Macaca mulatta: one gene and its partner. The protein of the gene in region 1 interacts with the protein of each later gene in a pairwise test. Links are inferred from orthologs where the notes say so. Each region holds a gene or a part of one and is shown on either strand. Other genes may lie near its edges.

What was found.
Region 2: the proteins of CDKN2D (region 1) and NR4A2 interact in binary tests that used the Homo sapiens proteins (3 or more experiments, as listed by UniProt). The two-hybrid records come from large-scale screens. The link is inferred for Macaca mulatta from reciprocal best matches to the Homo sapiens genes CDKN2D and NR4A2.

The regions. Positions count from the first base shown.
Region 1 is NC_133424.1:11,287,483-11,293,663, forward strand, and holds CDKN2D (cyclin-dependent kinase 4 inhibitor D), read right to left. Parts: upstream 3,422-6,181; 5' UTR 3,273-3,421; coding exon 3,132-3,272; intron 1,676-3,131; coding exon 1,316-1,675; 3' UTR 779-1,315; downstream 1-778. Other genes in the region: protein KRI1 homolog, read right to left, coding at 1-56, 170-281. UniProt on the Homo sapiens protein: Interacts strongly with CDK4 and CDK6 and inhibits them.
Region 2 is NC_133417.1:61,213,221-61,219,401, reverse strand, and holds the start of NR4A2 (nuclear receptor subfamily 4 group A member 2), read left to right. Parts: upstream 1-2,294; 5' UTR 2,295-2,383; intron 2,384-4,087; 5' UTR 4,088-4,211; intron 4,212-4,716; 5' UTR 4,717-4,718; coding exon 4,719-5,582; intron 5,583-6,181. UniProt on the Homo sapiens protein: Transcriptional regulator which is important for the differentiation and maintenance of meso-diencephalic dopaminergic (mdDA) neurons during development.

The DNA of each region.
Region 1 (6,181 bases):
GTCCGACTCAGAGCTGGAGTCGCTGCCGCTGTCCCGGTCCCCGTAGCGATCCTTCACTGCGGGACACAGACGGGATGCCCCCCAGGTCAGCCGGCTGGACCAGCTCGACTCCCCACTTCCCAACCGCCCATCGCAAGCAGGCTCCCGCGCGCATGCGCCCCGGACTCACGCCGCTGCAGTTCCTCGCGCTCCCGGTAGCGGTTGTACCGCGCGGCAAACGCCGTGTTCACCCGCAGCTGCGACGACCCGCGCGGTTCCGGCATGGCGGCTCTGTGGCCCATTGCGCACGCGCATTGAGGACGCCCTGGACGGGGCGGGGCCGCCCTCGGTCCCGCCCGCATCCAATTTCAAAAGAGGCGGACCGCACCTAACCCCGCCCCTGGCTTTTCCGGGATCCCCTTCGCCTCATGACCGCAGTCACCGCCCACCGCTACGCCCCTGCGGGGAAGGCCGCGGCCACCGCCCACCCGCCCCACCCCCGGTGCTCCGGGCACCCAGCTGACATCTGGGGGCCCTTTCTCCACTCGCGGTTTCCTGCTTCCCTTCCGTTCCGACAGCGAAAACCGCTGCCCCACCCAGCTCACTCACCCTGGCGCCCTGGGAATTACTATTCTCTCCCCTCACCCACCGCATCCACGATCCCCGACCCCCGTCCTCATCCCCATCAACATCCGGGATGTGTAACTCTCCATCCCAGACTCAAAAATCTGAAGCCACCCGCGCTGTGATCATGCACAAGTCTTAATTTAATGGGTAAAAACATTAAATTATTACAACATTTTTTTCCAATAAAGCATAATAAATAGAATCCATTTCTTTTAAAACGCTGTACAAGAGACTGGAAAACAAGCTTCCAACAGAATATGAATAACTCATTCTACCTTCTTACTGATTTGGGACTCTCCCCCCACCCCCTGTGCCCGAAGCAACGTGCACACTTCAGGTCTCTGAGCACAGCCAGCCAAGGTCACCAGGTTCTACGCTCCCTGGAGGTGATTTCACTCTTAAACGCTCTGCCCTTGGGTCTTGTCTGAGGCCCCAACAGCCTGGGGCGCAGAAAAAACTGAACCGTTTAGGTGGCTGTGGCCTGCAGGAGCCCTTCTCTGTCCAACACACCAAAAGGAGTGAGAAAAACAAATGAGAAACGTCCCCCAAATACCCACACACCCCAAAAACCAACACCTATAAGCCACAAACTGGTGCTCCTCCCCTACTGCGGCAGCAGGCAGGAGAAACAAGAAGAGAAAGTGTTTCTTCCCCTCTCTTCTGATACATAACCCCACGGGGTTCTCTTCCTGGATAGAGTGACCCCAGATCACAGCGGGGCCACCATGTGCCCCTGCAGGATGTCCACGAGGTCCTGAGCCCCTCTCTGCAGTGCCAGTTCCAGGGGTGTGAGACCCCTGGCGTCCCTGCGATGGAGATCAGATTCAGCCGCCAGAAAGCTGACCACAGCAGTGTGACCCTCTTGCACCGCCAGATGGATAGGAAGTGCCCCGGTGCCATCAGGCGCGTTGACATCAGCCCCGTGCTCCACTAGGACCTTCAGGGTGTCCAGGAATCCAGTGCGGGCTGCGTCATGGACTGGACTGGTGCCGGAGGTGTCCTGGACATTGGGGCTGGCACCTTGCTTCAGCAACTCCAGGGCGATGGCGGTGCTGCCAAACATCATGACCTGTGTGAGGGACAGAGGATCAGGAGGTCCTCAAGGGAGGGGTTTCCAAAAAAGGGGTTACTGGCCGGGCGCGGTGGCTCACGCCTGTAATCCCAGCACTTTGGGAGGCCGAGGCGGGCGGATCACGAGGTCAGGAGATCGAGACCATCCTGGCTAACACGGTGAAACCCCGTCTCTACTAAAAATGCAAAAAATTAGCCGGGCGAGGCGGCGGGCGCCTGTAGTCCCAGCTACTCGGGAGGCTGAGGCAGGAGAATGGCGTGAACCCGGGAGGCGGAGTTTGCAGTGAGCCGAGATCGCGCCATTGCACTCCAGCCTGGGCGACTAAGCGAGACTCTGTCTCAAAAAAAATAAATAAATTAATTAATTAATTAAAAAAAAAGGGGTTACTGGAGAGAGAAGGGTCATCCAGAAAGAGGCATCTCCCCGGAACAGGAAATGCCAGAGGAGGGATCCTCTAGTGAACGGAGAAGCTGCATAAGCCCCCAGGGGACTGTTTGAGATGCAGAGAAAAAGTTCTCCTGGGAATAGGGACCCCCCCCAAAAGCTGGTCACTCCCTTAAGAATGAGACCCCCCAACCCAGAGAACAGCCCCCATGGAAACTTTCAAGGAACCTAAGACTCTCCCGCAAGGGACCAAAGACGCCCCCAGATATGGGCAATCACCAGGAAATATAAAATCCCCTCCAGGAAATGGGCCCCCAGAGATGGAGAACTACCCCCAAAGAATTGATAGTCCTCATAAGGGAAAAGAGATGTCAAAGGAAAGCGAACCCCACCCCCTTCTCCAGGAATTAGCCTCCTCCTGTATAATGGTGATGTCACCTCAGAGTACCTGAGAGCTCCCTTCAGGAAGCGGGATTCCAAAAGCAATAATAAAAGAAGAGAAAAGAGACTCCTCTCTAAACTCTCCCAGGGAATATAAGGATGTCTTGCGATCTGACACTGTTCCTCCACTGGGGCCCCCACACTATAGCTAGGATCCGCATAATCTTTAGGAATGAAGACCCCACCCCCAAGTAACCAGATATGTCTCAGAGAGCCCCCTACAAAATGAGGAACCCCTGGAGACAGGACCTCTCCTTCCAGAGATCGGATCTCCCCATAGAAGCCCCAAGAAACGTGAGCCGTCCCCATGGAAACGGTATCCAAAGGAGCTGAACCCGCACCCACGGAATAAGAACCTCCCCAGGGAAAGTGAATCTTCCGCACTCAGAGAACCAGGAATCCTCCCAGAGAAGATGCTAAAAAGCTCTCCCCTCCCCCCACAACCTAGCCTCACCCACCACCCACCTTCGAAAGGGGACCGTGGGGGAACAATGAAAGCCTAGAGAAGAAGGACCGGTTTCCAGTGGGTCACCACCAGGGCCAGGAGACCAGAGGAGAGGGGCTCTGGGGTCTCGATCCTCACCCCGCCGAGCCACCCCGCCCCCGACCTGGGCCGGCCCGGCCTCACCTGCAGCGCCGTCTTGCCGAAGCGGTTGAGGGCGTCGGGATGCACCAGCTCGCGGTGCAGAAGGCGGCGCACCTCCTGCACGTCGCCCCGGGCCGCGGCCCCACTCAGCCGGTCGCCGGAGCGGACCTCCTCCAGCAGCATGTCGACACTGACGGCCTGCGAAGACCCCCGCCCCGCCCCAACCCGGCGCTGTCAGCACGGAGCAACCGGCGGGCGCTGGCCCGAGCAGCCCTCCCGGGACGCGGCCGCGGTGCGCCCGGCTGCTCTGCACTCCCGGCCCGGCTCCCCAGCCCAAGACCCCGGCCCTCCCAGCGGGCTCCTCCCCCTGTCAGCCGGAGGCAGGCGAGGGGCTGGGAGCTGGGCCCAACCCTCGGCCGCCGGCGGGGCCCTGCCCGGCGCCCGCCCCTTGGGGGCCGGGTCTCCCCCTAACTCACCCTCCCTCCTCCTTGCCGGGCGGGGTCTGCTCTGAGCCTGCGCCGCCGCCGCCGCCGAGGCAGCAGCCAGGGGGCGGAGCCAACGTGCTCCCGGCCACGCCCCGAACGCCGCGGATTTGTTTTCTTACAAACTCGCTACTGTGTAGCGAATCCGCGTTGCCCGGCGCGCGACCTTACGGCGTTCCTCCCGCAGGGCCTGCATAACCAATGGCTGCGCGTCGCCGGGGAAATTTCGAGCTCGGCGTGAAATGCGTTGTTCCTGATTGGTCAGAGCTCAGCAACCGATGGACCGCCGGCAATGGCGGGGTTTTCGGTTTTCAAATGAACCCGGCAGGCGGGAAAGACGGCCGCTTTAACTGACCCAGGGAGAAAGGTCAGGGGCAGGGTAGCGCGGGCTGCTCTGGGACCTCGGCGCCTCCTGGGGGAAGGGAGGCAGGGCTGGGGCCACCCAATCCGAGGTCCCACTACTAATAGATATTCATTGGCCCTTACTACGCGCTGGGCGCTTTATTTCATTCATTCATTCATTCACTGTGTGCAGGGGGCGTCCTGGGAGCTGGACGCGCACATTCAAGCAACTAAATAATATTAGATAGTGTCAAGCACCGTAATAAAGGGAAACGGGGAGACGGGGTGGATGAGGAAGGGATCACCCTGACTGGCTCAGACTGAGCCAAGAGGAAAGGAGCCTGCAACTGCCACGTGGGAAGGCCTGGGAGGACATAGTCGCAGCCAGACAGGGACTCAGGTCTTCGCTCAAAGATTTACTTAGTACCTCCTAGAGGTTCCCGAGTGGAGAGCACGCCAGGAGGCCCCTGCTGCAGGGACACCTATGGTCTGGGGCCAGAGACGATAGTTAATTTTTATTTATTTATGTATTTATTTTTGAGTCAGGGTCTCACTCCCGTCACCCAGGCCGGAATGCAGTGGTGCGATCACAGCTCACTGCAGCCTCGACTTCCCCGGCTCAAGTGATCCTCCCGCCTCAGCCTCCCGAGTAGCTGGGACTACAGGGACTACTGGCTAATTTGTATTTTTAGTAGAGACGGGTTTTCACCATGTTGCCCAGGCTAGTGTTTTTTGTTTGTTTGTTGTTTGTGTTTTGCTTTTAAATACACTTCTTTTTTTTATTTTGGGGTTCTTGCTATGTTGCCCAGGCTGGTCCCGAATTCCTGGGCTCAACGGATCCTTCTGCCTTGGCCTACAAAACTGTTGGGATTACAGGCGTGAGCTCCAGCGCCCCGCCAATAGTTAAATCTTTTTAGAATGGTAGAGGCGACTGACCCGATGAGCCTAGCCGTTGAAACAGAAAGGCAGTGAGGGCCTCCCTGAGGAGGTGACATTTGATTTGAGACTTAAAGGTGAGGGAGGGAGACTTGTGGTTATATGGGGAAAAGCGCACCAGCTGGGAGGCACAGCAGATGCTAAGGCCCAGAGGTGGGAGTGTGCCTGGTGTGGTACAGAGGAGGGGACAGCAGGTAGGTGGGGGATCGGGGTGGCACTTGTGCAGATCAAGCCGTGGCTTTTTTTTTTTTTTTTTTAGACGGAGTCTCGCTCTGTTGCCCAGGCTGGAGTGCAGTGGCGCGATCTTGTCTCACCGCAAGCTCCGCCTCCCGAGTTCACGCCATTCTCCTGCCTCAGCCTCCTGAGTAGCTGGGACTACAGGCGTACACTGTCACACCCGGCTAATTTTTTTGTATTTTTAGTAGAGACGGGGTTTCACCATGTTAGCCAGGATGGTTTCAATCTCCTGACTTTGTGGCCCGCCTCGGCCTCTCCAAAGTGCTGGAATTACAGGCATGAGCCACCACGCCTGGGTTTTTTGTTTTTGTTTTTGTTTTTGTTTTCTGAGACAGTCTCTCTCTCTGTTGCCCACGCCTGACCAGGCCATGACTTTAATAAGATAGGAACGCGGAGCGCAGTGGCTCACGCCTGTAATCCCAACACTTTGGGAGGCTGAGGCAGGTGGATCACCTGAGGTCAGGAGTTCGAGACCAGCATGGCTGACATGGTGAAATCCCGTCTCTATTTAAAAATACTAAAATCGGCCTGGAGCAGTGGCTCACGCCTGTAATCCCAACACTTTGGGAGGCCAAGGAGGGCGGATCATGAGGTCAGGAGTTTGAGACCAGCCTGACCAACATGGTGAAACCCCGTCTCTACTAAAAATACAAAAATTAGCGGGGCATGGTAGTGTGCGCCTGTAATCCCAGCTACTAAGGAGGCTGAGACAGGAGAATCACTTGAACCTGGGAGGTGGAGGTTGCAGTGAGCCGAGATCACACCACTGTACTCCAGCCTGAGCAACAGAGCGAGACTTCGTCTCAAAAAAAAATAAAATAAAATAAAGCTGGGCACAGTGGCTCATGCCTGTAATCCCAGCACTTTGGGAGGCCGAGGAGGGCAGATCATGAGGTCAGGAGTTCGAAACCAGCCTGGTCAACATGGTGAAACCCCATCTCTAATAAAAATACAAAAATTAGCTCGGCATGGTATTGGGCGCCTGTAATCCCAGCTACTCGGAAGGCTGAGGCAGGAGGATCACTTGAACCCGGGAGGCGGAGGTTGTGGTGAGCCAAGATCGCACCGCACTCCTCCAGCCTGGGTGACAGAGCG
Region 2 (6,181 bases), on another chromosome or scaffold:
CGGCCGGGAGCCTGGCCCACCGCGGGGATCAAGGAAAGCTCCCCGTGGCCGCGCCCTGCTCTCTCGCGGAAGGGGAAGGGAACCCGGGAGGGCGCCTCTGAGCTGGTGTTGCTGCTATTTTGGGCCCAGCCTGGCCGGTGCGTCAATGCCTGCGCCCCTGCGTCACCGCCACCCCCACCCCCTTCCTTCTCCCCGGCTCTCCAAACTCTCACTTTTTCCCTTTCGTTCGCATGGAATCGCTTCTGCCCACGGGGCGCTGACGCTACCGAGCTCATGCTAATATGCTATTCTTCGCCCTCCCCTCCTCATCCCCCTACTCACACACCCTTACCCGCCACCACAACCCGCCCCCCCACCCACTTCCTGGTTTTATTTTTTTCTTGCGCCTGCTAGGGCACCGCCGAGCAGCGGCGGCGGCGGCAGCAGTAGCGGCAGCCGCAACATCTGGGGGAAACTTAAGGTGGTCACGTAGGTTTCCCGGAGGCTGCGGCGCAGAAGAGCCCGCGGCTTCCTGGGGCAGCCGCAGGACATCTGTTGGCAACGCCTCCCCAGCCACCGGCGAGCTGGGGGCAGCAGGGAGTAGGCAAAGGCGGGGCTGCAGATTAGGGCTGAGCAGCCCGGGATCCCGAATAGTTCCACGGCGCCATCGGCCGGTACTGAGAACACGAGTAGGGGGGCAAGTTGCAAAAGGGTCCCGTCGGCCTGGAAGCGAGCCACGCCGAGAAAGGAGGGGCGGCTGGGACGCTCTGCGCGAGTAGAAAAGCGGGGGCGGCTCCGAACTCTCCCTCTCAAGGCCCAGCCTCTTCCAGCCCCGCGGGAGAAGCCCTAGGAAGCCCGCCCAGCTCCGGCCGGGAGACTGGGGGAGGGAGCTTGCCCTCCGGAGCCGCGGCGTTGTCTTTGCTAGAAAGCTCCCTGCGCCCGCGGCCTGGCGAGGGGAAATGAATTGCAAAGCAGAATCGGCGGCGACTCGGATGGCTGCGGGGGTGGGACACGCTCCTGGCTGGGTTGTAGGCTCACACCTTACGCTTTGCGGAGACGCTGTCTCCAATCCCCACCCGCTTCGCTTTTCTTGTCCAGTCTTTCTGGGTTCTAAGATTGAGGCTGTGATAGACCTTGTGTTTCAAACGAAGGTCGATTTATTTCTCTAAAACTCGTGGAAGGGGTACAAGTTGGTGGGCACCGAGGAGTATCGAAAGTATTAGAGTTTGCAGAAGGTGGGAATCAGAGTACCTTTCTGCAGAAGGCGCACCTGTTGCCTGCTGCTCGGCTGCATTGTCTGCGAAAGGAAAAGGCGCGACGCTTCACTCTGACTTTTGGGGTTTCTAAAGAGCTGGGTCACGGTCACTGTCTACCCTCTCCCCTTCCTCTCCTTCCCCCCAACCCCACGCACCACGTCCTCCATCGAACGTGGGCACTGCGTGGAAATAAGGAAACACAGAAAAATAAGCCCTACCCCCACTCCCATTCCCTTTCAGATGGGAGTGTGGGAGTAGGGGGAAGAGGGAGAGAGAGAGAGAATGAGAATGAATATATGCCAGAAGAGGAGGCGGCCTAGGACAGGAAAAGGGAGTAAAAGGGGATGAACCGGGTAGGGAAATCCCACCCGAACTGCGTGAGCCCTCTGAGCGTCTCGTGTCATGGGACATCTGTACGCTCTTCCGCTAAGGGGGTGACGAAGGTGGGTGGGAGAGGTTAGGGCGCTGCAAGGCACATCCCATTCCGTGCAGCTCCAGGTGCGTGCTACCTGGCCCACGCCGGCCTTCCCTTCCGCCTGGGCTTTTGTTGCACCCTCCCCACATGTGAGCGGCCGAGCAGCTGCGAGGGCGCGGGGGCCTGGGGGAAAATGAAGTGTCGCGGCACTGCGGGCTGCGCAGACCTGGGAGAGGTCACACCTCTTTCGGAAAAAAAAAAAAAGAAAGAAAGAAAAGAAAACACCAAAAACCACCCAAGCTGGCTACCAAGGTGAACGCAGAGCGGTTCCCACCTTAAAATCTGCCCTGCTCGTGACGTCAGGTCGGAAATATACCAAAGCGAGCGCGGGCCAGGAGTCCAGGGAGCGCGGCGGCGCGGCGATTGGGCGGCGGGCCGCTGACGCGCGCTGACGCGCGGAGACTTTAGGTGCATGTTGGCAGCGGCAGCGCGAGCCACATAAACAAAGGCACATTGGCGGCCAGGGCCAGTCCGCCCGGCGGCTCGCGTACAGCTCCGCGGTCCCTTTTGCCTGTCCAGCCGGCCGCCTGTCCCTACTCCCTCCCTGCGTGAGGTGTCCGGGCTCCCTTCGCCCAGCTCGCCCACCCCTCCCCGACCCCGGCGCCCAGCCTCCCAGAGGGAACTGCACTTCGGCAGAGTTGAATGAATGAAGAGAGACGCGGAGAACTCCTAAGTGAGTAGATGCAGCCCTTGCAGTTCGCCTTCTTTTATGCTTCTTCCTTCTTTTGCACGTCTCTTCTTTCCACTTGTGTGGGATAGGTTCTTTGGAAGTGGGAGCCAGAGGCTTCTAGTGAGAGTGGGACCGAAGGATGGGGAGTGCGTGCGCGTAGTTACCGGGGGGCATTTGTTCGAACTCCGGCTTTGGCACTAGTGGGGAGTTGGCTCCCGACAGAGGCTTCCAGGCTCCTCATTGGTGGACGTGGAAGGGAGACTCCACAGTTTGGGAGCTGAGGACTAGCCCGCGGAAATGTGAGCAAAGTTTGCTGTTAGTGAGGAATTGATTGTGGCCTGTGAAGACGGAGACTCCAAGTTCTGTGTATACGAAGGAAGCTGCCCACAAACTGACAGGGAGAGAAAGTTCTTCAGTTTATGCGTTGCTTGGGAACTGTGTCTCCGCGGCTGGCCAGCGCGCGATGTTTCCCGGGTATTGTTGAGTAAGGGTGGTGTTGGTAGAGTGTCCTGTTACTAAGTTGTCTGAAATTTCTGGTTTTGACATATGCTGTCCTTGGGTTTGCGAATGTGTCGAGAGAGAGAGAGACAGAGAGAGAGAGAGAGAGAGAGAATATGAATATGTAAAGAGTACAGTTATGAAACTGTGGAGCTACCAGGGAGTTAATATCCAACACAGGAATATCTCTAAGGGCTGTGGAAGTCGAGTCTCCTTTCTGCTTTTTCTGGGTAATCACCCCCCGCCCCCACCCCCACCACCACTATGAAGCAAGATTGTGGGGGAGGGGAAATAATAGAGAGGATACTGGCTTTCTTTTTCATTAGTAATAAGATTGTCTGTGCGCTAGAATGCCTTCTAAGTGGGAACATCTGAAAATTACTAGGACACAAGAATGCCTTGTTCCAGAAAGGCAGATCGTGGAAGGCATTATGGGGAAGGTGTTCGTCTTGCTGTTCTGGGAAACACTTCTAATATTGGTGCCAATACCATATAAGCAGTATGTCCCCTCTCTGCAATTGACCTAAGATACTCCTGGAAAAGTAGGGTCCCCTCTTCCCACCTTGTGGCCATTAAAGATGCTGAAAGACAAGTTTTCTGGAAAAGTGAACATCAATTTGTCTGCAGCTCCAATCCCAGTGCTCTGTCAAGAGCACTTTAGAAATGCGGATGCTTCCACTCAAATTGCCTTCTCAGTCAAGGTCTTTCTAACATTTTATAAGGGGAAAGATTGTTTTCTCATTTTATATTCTTGACTTCTACTTTCTTCCCCTCTACCAAAAGAAAAGGCAATTTCACCACATGAAAAAAAAAAATGCAAGAGAAGGTTCCAATGCTGTATTTTCAGACTCTAGTCTTCATACTCAGGTCCTGAATTAACCTAAGATGGAAATGACCTCTCCACCTACACTGTAGCAAAGGGGCCAGTTCATTACATCATAAATGTTAAATGAGTTCATGGACTAACTTTCCTCTTGCAGGATCCTCTCTCTGCAAGGATTTACACAGTGCAATGGGTAGTATTTTCTGTTGTTTCAAGTCATTTCTTTTATACATTCATTTTAAGTGCTGTGTTTGGTAAAGGCTTCCCACTCACTTCCAATGAGATGAACAGGGAAGGCATGGAAGGGCCTGCCTGGTGAGTCTACATATGCCCAGTTGAATCTCTGTCAGGAAGATACCCTGAAGCTTCCTGTGTCTGTATTTCAGGGAGGAGATTGGACAGGCTGGACTCCCCATTGCTTTTCTAAAAATCTTGGAAACTTTGTCCTTCATTGAATTACGACACTGTCCACCTTTAATTTCCTCGAAAACGCCTGTAACTCGGCTGAAGGTTAGTGCAACTTCATTTATTTCCTTTACTCTCCGGAGTTCCCCAAACATCAAGAAACAGGACAAGGCGATCTTCTTGGCAAACCCTGTAACTTAAGATTTGCCCGACCCATCGCCTTGGGGAGCAACTTTCTCATTGTGAAATTCAACTTCATTTCTAGATGGTCATTTCTAGAAAGAGACTGCTGAATCTGAGCTTCAGAGAAGAGGCTCATCTGAGTGGGATTGACTGTAAAAAGGTGTGGGGGGTGGTATGGAGGAGATGTTTGGAAATACCTAGGAATGTGGACCCTCAGTAGCTTTTTAGCTCTGGGTCTTTATTTGGTCAGTCTTTCCACACCCTACACTGTTGTTCGGCAGCATTCTCCCTCTCCTGCCCTTCCTCTCGCGCCCCTACACGCTCTCTGACTGCCGCGGGCTGCCGGTGTAGCTCCAGGTGTACCCGAGCCCGGGAGGAAGTGTTCAGTTGACCAGGCTGAGTGTGTATCACCCTGTTTCATTTCCAGCCATGCCTTGTGTTCAGGCGCAGTATGGGTCCTCGCCTCAAGGAGCCAGCCCCGCTTCTCAGAGCTACAGTTACCACTCTTCGGGAGAATACAGCTCCGATTTCTTAACTCCAGAGTTTGTCAAGTTTAGCATGGACCTCACCAACACTGAAATCACTGCCACCACTTCTCTCCCCAGCTTCAGTACCTTTATGGACAACTACAGCACAGGCTACGACGTCAAGCCACCTTGCTTGTACCAAATGCCCCTGTCCGGACAGCAGTCCTCCATTAAGGTAGAAGACATTCAGATGCACAACTACCAGCAACACAGCCACCTGCCCCCCCAGTCTGAGGAGATGATGCCGCACTCCGGTTCGGTTTACTACAAGCCCTCCTCGCCCCCGACGCCCACCACCCCGGGCTTCCAGGTGCAGCACAGCCCCATGTGGGACGACCCGGGGTCTCTCCACAACTTCCACCAGAACTACGTGGCCACTACGCACATGATCGAGCAGAGGAAAACTCCAGTTTCCCGCCTCTCCCTCTTCTCCTTTAAGCAATCGCCCCCTGGCACCCCGGTGTCTAGTTGCCAGATGCGCTTCGACGGGCCCCTGCACGTCCCCATGAACCCGGAGCCCGCCAGCAGCCACCACGTGGTGGACGGGCAGACCTTTGCTGTACCCAACCCCATTCGCAAGCCCGCGTCCATGGGCTTCCCGGGCCTGCAGATCGGCCACGCGTCGCAGCTGCTTGACACGCAGGTGCCCTCGCCGCCGTCGCGGGGCTCCCCCTCCAACGAGGGGCTGTGCGCTGTGTGTGGGGACAACGCGGCCTGCCAACACTACGGCGTGCGCACCTGTGAGGGCTGCAAAGGCTTCTTTAAGGTGAGCAGTGGCTTGAGCGGAGTAGGCAGGTAGGGAGCCCCTAGTGCCCGGGACCCTGGAGTGTGCCTCCTGGGACTGCCCGGCTCTCCGGGGTCCACCGAAGCTACCCTGCAGGAGTCCACGGGCTGCGGCGGGGACTTCCGGGTGTCTGAGAAAGGGAAGCAGAAAGACTGGGAGGCCAGGGTCGCATCCCCCTCGCACTCAGCCGACCGGGCTGGCCCCCGCCCGAAGTTGCTGGAGCCGGAGTTGGAAGAGGGTCATTTGCATGTGCTAGGAGCTGTCTTCCCTGTTCAGAATGAAATTGGTTAGGACAGAGAACCGTGTCTGAGCTAACCAAGTGGAACAGAATTCCCTATGGTCAAATTAAGTGATCTCTTTATTTCGCCATCCTGATTGAATAATCTTATCATTTTAAATAGAGAAGGTCTCCAAGGAATGTAAATAATATGAATGCCCACGGATTTGTATTTACTGAGCGTCTCCTTCTCCTTCTCTTGGCATATAAAACACAGCAAGGAGCGGCAAGGTTAGCTCAAATGTTAACGCTATCAATTTTCTTCTGTTAAATGCCCTGGGGGAGGAAAAAGAAAAGAAAGAAA